Oryctolagus cuniculus: one gene and its partners. Each later gene encodes a partner of the first gene's protein in a complex. Links are inferred from orthologs where the notes say so. Each region holds a gene or a part of one and is shown on either strand. Other genes may lie near its edges.

Region 1 (3,741 bases):
CCCCCCACGGGACTGTGGCTGTCTTTTAGGGCAACCTTAAATCTAGATCCATTCCTAACCAGTTTCTCCCTTCCTCACCAGCCATATTCTTTCGCTTCCCCAGTTTCCAATTTCCCAAATCTTCAACCTCTCCGAATTAGTCCAATCAAACTTTCCCTTCTTAGACCTCTTCCCTACGTTCTCACCAGGAAACTCCCAGGAGAATCACGTGGCCAAGTTTGTCCTTAACGGCGCTCCGTAGTTCTACTACTCCACCGCCCTCCCCTAGCCGCTGCCAGCTTCGCCCCGCCCCATTCTCGCTCCCCTACCCCCTGCGAAATGCTTGCGCCTGCGCATCTCCAATTCAGGCGCTTTCCCTTTCCTGGCGACCAATCCACTTCCTACCTCCGGTCCTCGAAACACTCCTCCCCTCTACTGGGGCCCTGGCTAGAGGCGCTGGTAGTCGCTGCCCAGTTGATTGCCTGTCTGAAAAAGTCGCTTCTCTCTTCAACTGGGGAATTTGAACGAGCCGCTAAATGAGCGGCACCAACACGAGCCTTTGCTCTAGACCTTTCACCCCGGAGCCAAGCTGAGGGCATCGGCATGCGGGAGGACGGGCGGCCCGGAGCGTTTTCGATCCGGCACTCTCGCGGACAGCTTCTTCCTTTCCCCCCTCCCTCCGCCCCGCCCCCACCCTCAGCCCGGCCGCGCTGGTGAGTGGCGGGCGGGAGAGCGGGCGGGCGGAGGGAGGAGGGGGAGCTGAGGGAAGGCGGGCCCTCGGCTGCGAGAGAGGTGGGGGGAGGGGAGGGGAGAGCCCGAGCGCTGGAGTTGGTGCTGGGAAACCCGGGGCTAATGTTGACAACAGGCTCGAGGTGAGTCCCGGGGAGCCTCCTGCCTCTCCGCGCCAACGACCGGGAGGAAGTAGGGCTGAGGGCGGCTGGGGGGGGGGGCACCGGCCTGGACTCCTACTCCCTGGGGGGACCCAAAAGGCGACTCCGTACCTCAGCTCTCCGGGGGCGGCGAGCAGTGGAGGGACCGTGTGGGTCCGGCGTCGCCCTCCTCAGACCCCCTCTCCCGGAGGCTTCCTTCAACGCGGGAACCCCGGGCCGTGGCAGGCATGGGGAGCGGGAGAGGAGGTGCCTGCCCCACATGCCTGGGCCGGGCCTCGGCGCTGGAGGCGGGGAGCCTGCCGTGGCCGGGTTGAAGGTGTTTGGGGGCGTGGAGTGAAGCGAGGGGAGGCTGGGGGACGCGCCTGGGGGAGCCGGGAGGACGGCTAAGGCAAGGAGGTGGGCAGGGTGCGTGAGTGGGAGGAGGTGCTGCGGGGCGGGCGTGCGGGACGCGAAGTTAGGATTGGGGCAAGGGTGTCCGGCGAAGGTGACTGTGGATGGCCGAGGGGAGGGGGGGCTTGTGGCGGGCGAGCGGTGTGGGGCCCGAGCTGAGGTTCGGGACAGAGGTGTGTGTCGGGGACGGGGTCCTGGGCGTCTTGGGATGTGGGCGTGGGTGTGTGGTTTACTTCCTTGTAGTCCCTCGGGCTGGTTGATTCTGCGCTTCGCCCTCACCCCCAGGACTCCAGGTGCTTCCTTGTTAGTACCGTGCAACTAAGGAGGTGATCCCGGGGTGGCATTGGGTCTCCAGCTCGGCGGAGCGGGGGCCCGCTTTCACATTTGGGGGAACACACGGGAGCGACTGGGCCCTCGGCTCCTTGGCTCCTGATAGGATTTGTACCCAAGTGGAGCGATCGCCGACCCTTGTCATGTATCACGGTCTTTTTCGGTTGTTTTTAAAAATCCGACCAATTGGCAAAGAATACCGTGTTTGATGACATGTCTCAAAATTTTGGGTTAGCCGTTTTCTCCAAGGACACCCTTTTAAAGGGGGAGATAATGCCCTTAGAACATTTTGAATAGCAGGAGTATTTTCAGAGCAGTCTAATTGTGATTTCACACACAATCCATATGGTACTTGCAAACGAGTATCTTTAAAAGAGAAACACTCCAATTCTCTGTGCTTTCTCCGTTAGTCCCACTTTTACTAGTCAAGACGTTTTACTTTGTTTTGGAAGTTCAGAGTATATTTTTTAAAAAAAGCAAAATAATACAGCCCAAGTGTCAAGACACTATTTTGGGAGCTAGAAGGTGGTTTTTTAGCATAGGTTCCTTCTCAGGACCATCTGAATGTAACTGTGCTCAGTGAAATAATTTCTAAGCGCTGATATTCCAATTAAAAGATCACTAATTTGTATCTTGATTATTTTAAGTTATTTTGAGAGGAATCTGAAGATTTTACTGGAAAAACTTGGAGGCATTTAGTTTACATGAAATGCTTGAGTAGCAAAGTTTGAATTAAAAAGTCTAGTGCTTTATTATGTAATTTAATGAATGGTTCACTTAACGTGATATGGCTCTGAATCCTGTCATTTGCCATATGTTTTGCTTGCTTTCTTAAATCTTAGGGCCAGTATTTGTAGTAGAAAAGAGTGCTGGCAGTGAGTCCTGGTCCAGTCACTAAACTAGTTGTATAATTTTGGGCAGAAAATACTGCTACCAACCAAGTCAATGTAAAAATAGAGAATTGGGGTAGATAGAATCTAATGGTCTTACCTTTAAAAATCTCTCATCTGATGAACTTGTCAGTGTTCTGTGTCAAAGAGAACCAGTATTTATTGGATGCCTCCCTCATGCTAGCTACTGTGTTAGCATTTGGGAACTCAGAGAAGCAGCCATTTCTCCATTTTGTCCAGTAAATAGACGTAGAAACGAAGTTGCTTGGTATCAGTAACTTCTCGATCCCAGAGTTGGGGTGCAAACTTTTACTGACTTCAAAGACCGCACATGTTGTTTTCACAAGTTGCACGGAATGCTGCCTCCATGTGAACTGTTAGTTTTTTGTAGTTGTTCCCTGAGATCTTGTTCCAGATATGCTCGGAGGGTATGTCTGTAATAGAGTGATGAAGTGATTTAAAGAATATATCAGTACAGGGATGGGCTTTTGGAGCAGGGGCTGCTCACATCCCTATCACAGTGCCTGCTTTGAGCTCTAGCTACTTTGCTTTCCATCCAGCTCCCTGCTGGTGTGCATCCTGGGAGGCAGCAGGTGATGTCTTAAGTACTTGGGCTCCTTCCGACCCACACAGGAGACCTGGATGGAGTTCTGGCCTCCTGGTTTTGGCCTAGCCCAGCCCTGGCTGTTGCACGATTTGAGGAATCAAGAGGATGGAAGATCTCCCTGTCTCTCTGCTTTTCAAATGAAATTAAAGTAAATAAATAAAAATTTTAAAAGTGAAGAGGGAAAAAAGGGCCACCCTCCAGAAAGAATATGTCAGGACTGAGACACTTGAGGGTCTTAATGAGAATCTTTTTTTTTTTTTTTTTTTTTTTTTTTAAAGAAACTGTTTATTTACTTATTTGAAAGGCAGAGTGACAGCCAGACAGATCTTCCATCTCACGTTTCACTTCCTAAATGGCCACCATGGCCAGGGCTGTGGTGAAGGCCAAGCTGAAGTCAGCAGCCAGGTATTCCCTCTGGATCTCCCACCTGGATGGCAGGAATTCAAACACTTGAGCCAGCATCCACCACTTCCCAGGTGCATTAGTAAGGAACTGGATCAGAAGTGAAGCAGCTGGGACTTGAACTTGGCACTCCGGTGTGGGATGTGGGCATCCCATGTGGCTGCTTAACCAGCTGCGCTGTACTACTACCCACTGGAGAATCTCTTTTATGTGCTCTAGAGCAGGATTTGTTTGCTAATTCTACTAGTTTATT
Region 2 (3,641 bases), on another chromosome or scaffold:
AGTCACGATGGGGGGACGTGGCTGTGGGACCGCCGCAGGGCTGCGTGCCTGCTGCCTGCTGGGTCTGTCCTCGGACGTCCAGGGCCCACAGCTGGAGCGCAGTGTGGGGCTCCCACGCGGTGGCAGGACTCCAAGGCCTTGAGCGGTCAGTGCTGCCTCCCCGGCTGTGTTAACAGGAAGCCGGCCTTGCGAGTGGGGCCAGGACGTGAACCCAGGGGTCCCAAGTGTCGTCTTATCCGATTGGCCAGATGGCCCCGTGGGCTGGCCCTGATGGCTGACACTGTCACACGCTCCCGGGGGGGCTCCCCCAGCCGTGGGGGGCCGCAGCCTTTTGAGGGATCTGATCCTGGCTTGCAGATGGCTCGTCCCCACACCCCGGCTGTGTGGTGGCCGGGGAGCCTTGGCCTGGCTAGGGGCCTCCCCAGTGACGCTGTCCTCCGGCCAGGTCGGCCCCGAGGGCGTCCTGCAGAATGGGGCCGTGGACGACAGCGTGGCCAAGACCAGCCAGCTGCTGGCCGAGCTCAACTTCGAGGAGGATGAGGAGGACACCTACTACACCAAGGACCTGCCGGTCCACGCCTGCAGGTGAGCGGGCCGTGGGTGGAAGGAGACGCTGGCCAGAGGGCGCCCGGGCCCGTGCGAGTGGTGACAGCCGCCTGGTGGCTCCCGCAGGGCAGGGCTGTCCCTTGCGATTGGACTTGGCCTTGCATTTTGTTCCTCTCGCATGAGGGGTCTGCAGCCCCAGGAAGTGAACTGAGTTTACTCGGGGCCCCTCTGTGACACGCGGGTTCCAGACGGGGTCCTGGCTCGGCACGCGACACCACCCGGAGCCAGCGTTTCCGCGGGCGGGCCGGGGCCCTGCCAGGTGCCGCCTGCCGCGCCTGCGCCCGTTCCCCGGGAGCGCAGCGCCCTCTGCCGGGGCCCGCTGGGACCGCCGCCGCCGGCTGCTGCATGGAGGCCCGAGGGGAGGGCCCAGGCCTGCGTGGGCAGCGCGCCTGGCGGGGCTGGGCCCCGCTGCCCGCGCCCCTCCCCGGGAGCTGGGGGCCACCTGCCTCCTCCCCCGTCCTCTCGGGTGCACGGAGCCTGTGCAGTTAACGGAGTTGGTGCTGAGGCCGGGGTTGTTGGGTTTGAGGACGTGTTTAATGAAAAACGTAAACACGTAAGAGGAAAGACCTTTACGTGCTGGCCAGTGAGGGCCGGAGCGCTCCGCCCGCTGTAACGGCGCCCCTGGGCCTCCGCAGCTACTGCGGCATCCACGACCCCGCCTGCGTGGTCTACTGCAACACCAGCAAGAAGTGGTTCTGCAACGGGCGCGGCAACACTTCCGGCAGGTAGGCAGCACTTCCGGCAGGTGGGGCCGGCGCGGGCGGGGTCCTGACTCCCGGGTGGAATCCGGGTCGCGGGCTCCCCTGCTGCCGGGGCTGGGGCGCTCCCTGCCCGGGCCCTGTGGCATTGGTGCCCCCTGGGGGCCGCTGCCAGGAAGGCCACGCCCCGCGGCCGGGCGGCTCAGCGCCGGGTCCAGGGCCTGCAGGAGGCTGGTTTGGTTTGGTTTGGTTTTTTCGGTGTTCAAGCGCGGCCCCCGTGTGCTCGTTCCCTCCCCCGCCTGGGGGCCAGGCCCTCGGTCTGCCGGGTGGGTGGTCGTCGCCTCTGCCCGCCTGGTGCGGGAGGGCGGGGAGCTGGGTCCAGAGCTGCGCACGGCTGTCCCGTGGGGGCAGGGGGCTTGCTGAGCCAAGTGCCCACCCCGGGGGCCGGTGTTTTCAGATGATTTTAGCAGAAACGCCTCTTGTTTCAGTTGCTCTGTGTGCGTGAGTCTGACCCGAGGGCGAGGGAGCGGCTGGGGGGCCCTGGGGAGCTCGTGGAACCTGGACGGCAGCTGTGGGGCGCAGGGTCCGGAGCGCCGCCGGCTCTGTCCCGGGACCCCCCCATCCCCACCCCCGGCCACGGACGCCCTCGGTGTTTCTTCCCGCGCCGCTTGTAGTGCTCGGGTGCTCGGCTTCCCGGCCTGCCGCGGGGTGGGGGCGCAGGGGCGGCTGGGAACCCAGGGAGCACACGAACCAAGGCCCCAAGGCCGGGGTGTCCCCCAGCGGGGGCCGGGGGCCGAGTGGTGAGGGAGGGGCCCGTGCGGGGCGCTCAGTGTGCCGCCCGGCCGCAGCCACATCGTGAACCACCTGGTGCGGGCCAAGTGCAAGGAGGTGACGCTGCACAAAGACGGGCCGCTGGGCGAGACGGTGCTGGAGTGCTACAACTGCGGCTGCCGCAACGTCTTCCTGCTGGGCTTCATCCCCGCCAAGGCCGACTCGGTGGTGGTGCTGCTGTGCAGGTGCGGCGCGGGGCGGGGCGGCGCGGGGCGGGGACTCAGTGGTGCGGGGGGGGGGGGGGCTCGGTGGTGGTGGGAGGGGGCGGGGCTGGGGCTGCCGCTCACCGCTCCCCTGCCCCGCCCCCGCAGGCAGCCCTGCGCCAGCCAGAGCAGCCTCAAGGACATCAACTGGGACAGCTCACAGTGGCAGCCGCTGATCCAGGACCGCTGCTTCCTGTCCTGGCTGGTGAAGATCCCCTCGGAGCAGGAGCAGCTGCGCGCGCGCCAGATCACCGCCCAGCAGATCAACAAGCTGGAGGAGCTGTGGAAGGTGGGTGGGGCGGGCGGGCCACGGCCCAGCCAGTCAGTCAGCTGGGGGAGCTGTGGGGGCGGGGCGGGGGCGGGGCGGACCAAGGCCCAGCCAATCAGCTGGAGGAGCTGTGGAAGGTGGGCGGGGGCGGGGCGGGCCACGGCCCAGCCAATCAGTCAGCTGGGGGAGCTGTGGAAGGTGGGCGGGGGCGGGGCGGGCCACGGCCCAGCCAATCAGCTGGAGGAGCTGCGGGGGCGGGAGCGGGCGGGGCTGAGCGGTGCGCTGCCCTGCCCCAGGAGAACCCGGCGGCCACGCTGGAGGACCTGGAGAAGCCGGGCGTGGACGAGGAGCCGCAGCACGTGCTGCTGCGCTACGAGGACGCCTACCAGTACCAGAACATCTTCGGGCCGCTCGTCAAGCTGGAGGCCGACTACGACAAGAAGCTGAAGGAGTCGCAGGTGACGTGGCCGCGGCCCGGCCGCAGGCAGCACGGGGGCGCGCGCGGGGCCGCGGGGCGGGCGCTGACCGGGCCTTGTCTCCCTGCTCAGACGCAGGACAACATCACGGTCAGGTGGGACCTGGGCCTTAACAAGAAGAGAATCGCCTACTTCACTTTGCCCAAGACTGACTCTGGTAATGAGGATTTAGTCCTAATTTGGTTAAGAGGTGATTTTAAGTTTTGAACTCCTTGTGCCGTGGTAGCGCCAAGCCCCTGTGTCGCCCCGAGCGGGCGCCGGGCGCGGGAGCCGGCGGGGGCCGCGCTGACGCCGCCCCTCCCCGCAGACATGCGGCTCATGCAGGGCGACGAGATCTGCCTGCGCTACAAGGGCGACCTGGCGCCGCTCTGGAAGGGCATCGGCCACGTCATCAAGGTCCCGGATAGTATCCTTGCCTGCGGGCGGGGGGCGGGGGCGGGGGGCGGCGGGCTCGCAGCACGCACCCACGCGGGCCGGCAGGCCGGGCGCGGGCGCCGCCGCTTCTTGACGCGGACGCGGACTTGACTCAGCGCCCAGACTACGGCGACGAGATCGCCAT
Region 3 (3,641 bases), on another chromosome or scaffold:
AAAAAAAGGGCAGGCCGGCGCCGCAGCTCACTAGGCTAATCCTCCGCCTTGCGGCGCCGGCACACCGGGTTCTAGTCCCGGTCGGGGCGCCGGATTCTGTCCCGGTTGCCCCTCTTCCAGGCCAGCTCTCTGCTGTGGCCAGGGAGTGCAGTGGAGGATGGCCCAAGTCCTTGGGCCCAGCACCCCATGGGAGACCAGGAGAAGTACGTGGTTCCTGCTATCGGATCAGCGCGGTGCACCAGCAGCAGCGTGCCGCGCCGGCAGCAGCGCACCGGCCGCGGCGGCCATTGGAGGGTGAACCAACGGCAAAGGAAGACCTTTGTCTCTCTCTCTCTCTCACTAGCCACTCTGTCCAAAAAAAAAAAAAAAAAAAGGCAACATACCATATGAGCGCCAGTTCATTTCCTGACTGTTCTGCTTCAATCCAGTTCCCTGCAAATGCACCTGGGAAACCAATGGAGAATGGTCCAAGTACTTAGGCCCCTGCCACCCAGATAAGAGACCTTAGTGGAGTTCCTGGCTTTGTAGCCATTTGGGAAGTGAACCAGAAGATGGAATATCTCTGTATCTGTCTCTCCTCCTCTCTCTGTTATTCTGCCTTTCAAATAAATTTTTTAGAAAGAGCAATGTAATGATTCTGATATGTCACCTTTCTGAAGCCAAAAGTATCTAGGAGAAAACTTCAGGATTTACCATCCCTTCCAGTGCCACATCTAGGGTTTCTGCCCAACTTATCTTTTTGGAACATCTGATTTTTTATGTTGAGTTTACCCAAAGTAAGGTATAGCCATACAGGAATTGTTTATATACTATACCTAATACTCTCAGAAGGTTCCATAGCTGTAACTTTCAGTTGTCCCCTGAGTGTGACTCTGGATTGGTAGAAGCAGTGGTAGAGGCTGACATTGTGGCCTAGCAGTTAAGCCACTGTATCTACCATGGGCATCCCTATGAGCACCAGTTCGAGTCCAGGCTGCTCTGCTTCCTATCCAGCTCCCTGCTAATGTGCCTGAGAAAGCAGCAAAAGATGGCCCAAATGCTTGGGCTCCTGCTACTCACATGGGAGACCCAGATGAAGTGCCTAGCTCCTGGCTGTTACAGCCATTTGGGGAGTGAACCAGCAGATGGAAGATCTCTCTGTCCTTCTGTGTAACTCTGCCTTTTGAATAATTAAATAGATCTTTTTAAAAAATATCCCATATAATATCCCCCGTGGTTCTGTTATGATGTGTGGTATCTCATTTTTCCTGACTCCCGTGTTATACAAGACTTCTATAATGGGTACTGGCAGTAGCATTTCTATTTGTGACCACGTAAGCCCTAAATAGTCTATCTTGTGGGTATGCTTTTTTTTTTTTAATCTTCCATGAAGTAGGATATTACCCTCTTTGATACTTAAGTATCCTATATAATTCTATATAATATTTGGTCTTTCATTTAAAGTCTACTATACTTTCTGGTTCCTTGAACAATTATTTAGATCCAGAATATAGAAAATTTTTGGAAAGTTATGCTACAGACAATGAGAAAATGACATCTACTCCAGAGACACTGCTAGAGGAAATAGAAGCAAAAAATAGAGAATTAATAGGTAAGTGGGCAAGAGGAATTAGGGGAAGGGCTTTTTCTTTTTCTTTTTTTTTTTTTTTTTTTTTTTTTTTTTTTTTGCTTAAGTCTGTCTCCCACTTCCATCACTTCCTAGCTCAGTGACCTTGGAGAAGTCACTTACTTCTCTGAGACTGTTTCTTCTGCTGAGAAATGCACATGATAATACTTGCCTTGTAATATAAGTGTGAAAAGACTGATAAGGGGAATTTAGATAATGGTAAGCTTTTGAAGATCAATTGATATTTCCTAGCAACAAAAAGTTAATGTTCATAAAAACTTTGACCTACAAATAAATATAAGTAAAGATATACGTAAAGAAATTGATTATATATCTTGTATTTAAATATATATATATGTATATACACATATAAAGGAATTGGTTACTACAAAAGTGAAAACCTCTTGAGAAATTCTAGCTTGGATGTTGGTTCTAAGTAATAGGCTGTCACTACTGTATCAGTAACTAAACACCAGTTGAGTCTCACCCCAGATTTCCACTCCTAGGAATTTATCTTAAGAAAGTATGTATTTAAAAAGTAGTTATAGAGCTAATAGCACTGTTCAGAATGTAGAAAAATGAAGCTGAATATTCTTCTTGAAAACTTGATTTTTTATTAATCAGATTAAGCTCATTTCTGGTAACTTTCTTAGAATAAACTCCCAGAAGCAGAATTATGAGATCAAAAGCATTAGATCTTTTTAATTCCTTTCCTCAATTTCTTTCCAATTGAAAAAATTCATATTCTTATTAGTAAAACAAGAGAATGTCCTTTGTACTTAATTCTTACTAACTAGAAATTACTCTGTTAAAAATTGTTTGATTGCCTTAATTTTAATTTCTTCAGTTTTTAAGATGTACTTTAAACCTCTGTTGCTAAAATGGGATACAGTAAAACTACTTCCCAGTAATATAGTTGTTAACTTTCTGTTTAAGGGGTATAGTTTTCCCACCTTGGGTGGATGGCAGGGAATGTCAGGAAATGGAATCCTTGCTAGAGAGTGATGAGTATTATTAATAATCTGTTTACATTTATGTAGCTAAAAAGACAACCCCACTTTTGAGCTTCCTGAAAAACAAGCAGGTAAACCTTTTGTTTTTATAGTTCTCTGAATACTTTCATTGGTTCACATTCTGTAAATATTTTAAGAGCATTGGGGTCCTGTAGTTCAAGAAAGAGCTGCTTTTTCCACCACTGTTCTTTATAAAGATTGGACTTGCGAGTCTCATTCTCTGGTCCTCTCTCTCACTCTGTAAACCTGGAGAGTCCTTAGCTTCTCCCAGAGACCCTGTCTTGATATTCTGAAGGCCTCTGGACAGAACAGCAAGGCAGCAGGGGGAGACTGACACTAGCAGGTCCTGGTCTTCATTCTCTATCCCTTTCTGGGCGGGGTGGAGGTTACGGAGGCTGTAGAAAGATGATCCAGTGTAGTGGGAGCCCATCATGCCTTTGGGATTGATTAGGTTTTTGATGATGATTATCTTACTTGAAGGTTTGTGTTGATGTTTCTTCTAGAGAATGAGAGAAGAAAAGAGAGAAGAAAGAAGGCGACGAGAAATAGAAAGAAAACGGCAGAGGGAAGAAGAGAGAAGAAAGTGGAAAGAAGAAGAGAAACGAAAAAGGAAAGATATAGAAAAGCTGAAGAAGATAGACAGAGTTCCAGAAAGGGACAAATTAAGGGATGAACCAAAGATAAAGGTATGAAGATAATTTAAATTGACTGCATGCTGTTGAAAATTGCATGTATCTACATCTTTAAATATGCATGCATGTTGTATTGGTGTAAATCAGTTTTTTGTTTTGTTTTTATCCTTTTGGGGGGGAATGAACCAATAGAAATCTTTCCTGTAATGTTATTTTTTTTAATTTAAGATCATTTAAAATGAGAAGTAGTTTACATGATGTTATCATTTCTTTAGTGCAGATCTATGTTCTTTTTATCATTGAAAATATTCAATTTTTAGATTATTCTCTCAATTCATAATAAATGAGGGCTTAGGGCTGGCTGGCATGAATTACGGGTTTTATTCAGCT

The links.
Region 2: the proteins of UPF2 (region 1) and UPF1 are in contact, whole or in part, in a crystal structure (PDB 2WJV), measured with the Homo sapiens proteins. The link is inferred for Oryctolagus cuniculus from reciprocal best matches to the Homo sapiens genes UPF2 and UPF1. Residues at the interface, in NP_056357.1 of Homo sapiens: Val1105, Cys1107, Glu1109, Asp1110, Phe1113, Ile1114, Ala1116, Leu1117, Met1120, Met1121, Asn1124, Leu1125, Arg1128, Met1169, Pro1170, Phe1171, Val1172, Met1173, Leu1174, Thr1175, Gln1181, Lys1184, Leu1186, Asn1187, Val1188, Pro1189, Ser1192, Gln1193, Leu1194, Asn1197; in NP_001284478.1 of Homo sapiens: Asn150, Thr151, Ser152, Gly153, Val157, Asn158, Leu160, Val161, Arg162, Lys164, Lys166, Pro175, Leu176, Gly177, Thr179, Tyr184, Cys188, Asn190, Val191, Phe192, Leu193, Phe196, Pro198, Asp202, Ser203, Val204, Val205, Val206, Leu207, Cys209.
Region 3: the proteins of UPF2 (region 1) and UPF3B are in contact, whole or in part, in a crystal structure (PDB 7NWU), measured with the Homo sapiens proteins. The link is inferred for Oryctolagus cuniculus from reciprocal best matches to the Homo sapiens genes UPF2 and UPF3B. Residues at the interface, in NP_056357.1 of Homo sapiens: Lys767, Arg768, Pro769, Pro770, Leu771, Glu773, Tyr774, Lys777, Lys790, Arg793, Gln794, Arg796, Lys797, Leu798, Pro799, Trp800, Gln801, Cys811, Ile814, Asn815, Trp817, Tyr837, Gln838, Glu839, Asp840, Ile843, His844, Val846, Asp847, Gly848; in NP_542199.1 of Homo sapiens: Lys52, Arg56, Arg57, Tyr79, Glu81, Phe83, Asn85, Asp86, Thr87, Ser88, Leu89, Tyr90, His92, Tyr94, Arg96, Tyr98, Ile130, Glu132, Pro135, Phe136, Lys138, Ala139, Ala140, Arg147, Asp148, Lys150, Val151, Gly152, Thr153, Ile154.

Annotation. Positions count from the first base shown.
Region 1 is NC_091444.1:71,004,961-71,008,701, forward strand, and holds the start of UPF2 (regulator of nonsense transcripts 2), read left to right. Parts: upstream 1-858; 5' UTR 859-1,128; coding exon 1,129-1,185; exon of another isoform or gene 1,186-1,265; intron 1,266-3,741. UniProt on the Homo sapiens protein: Involved in nonsense-mediated decay (NMD) of mRNAs containing premature stop codons by associating with the nuclear exon junction complex (EJC).
Region 2 is NC_091447.1:65,854,616-65,858,256, forward strand, and holds part of UPF1 (regulator of nonsense transcripts 1), read left to right. Parts: intron 1-445; coding exon 446-585; intron 586-1,241; coding exon 1,242-1,331; intron 1,332-2,152; coding exon 2,153-2,320; intron 2,321-2,446; coding exon 2,447-2,627; intron 2,628-2,902; coding exon 2,903-3,064; intron 3,065-3,154; coding exon 3,155-3,272; intron 3,273-3,389; coding exon 3,390-3,488; intron 3,489-3,595; coding exon 3,596-3,641. UniProt on the Homo sapiens protein: RNA-dependent helicase required for nonsense-mediated decay (NMD) of aberrant mRNAs containing premature stop codons and modulates the expression level of normal mRNAs.
Region 3 is NC_091453.1:73,250,671-73,254,311, forward strand, and holds part of UPF3B (regulator of nonsense transcripts 3B), read left to right. Parts: intron 1-1,480; coding exon 1,481-1,591; intron 1,592-2,646; coding exon 2,647-2,690; intron 2,691-3,122; coding exon 3,123-3,305; intron 3,306-3,641. UniProt on the Homo sapiens protein: Involved in nonsense-mediated decay (NMD) of mRNAs containing premature stop codons by associating with the nuclear exon junction complex (EJC) and serving as link between the EJC core and NMD machinery.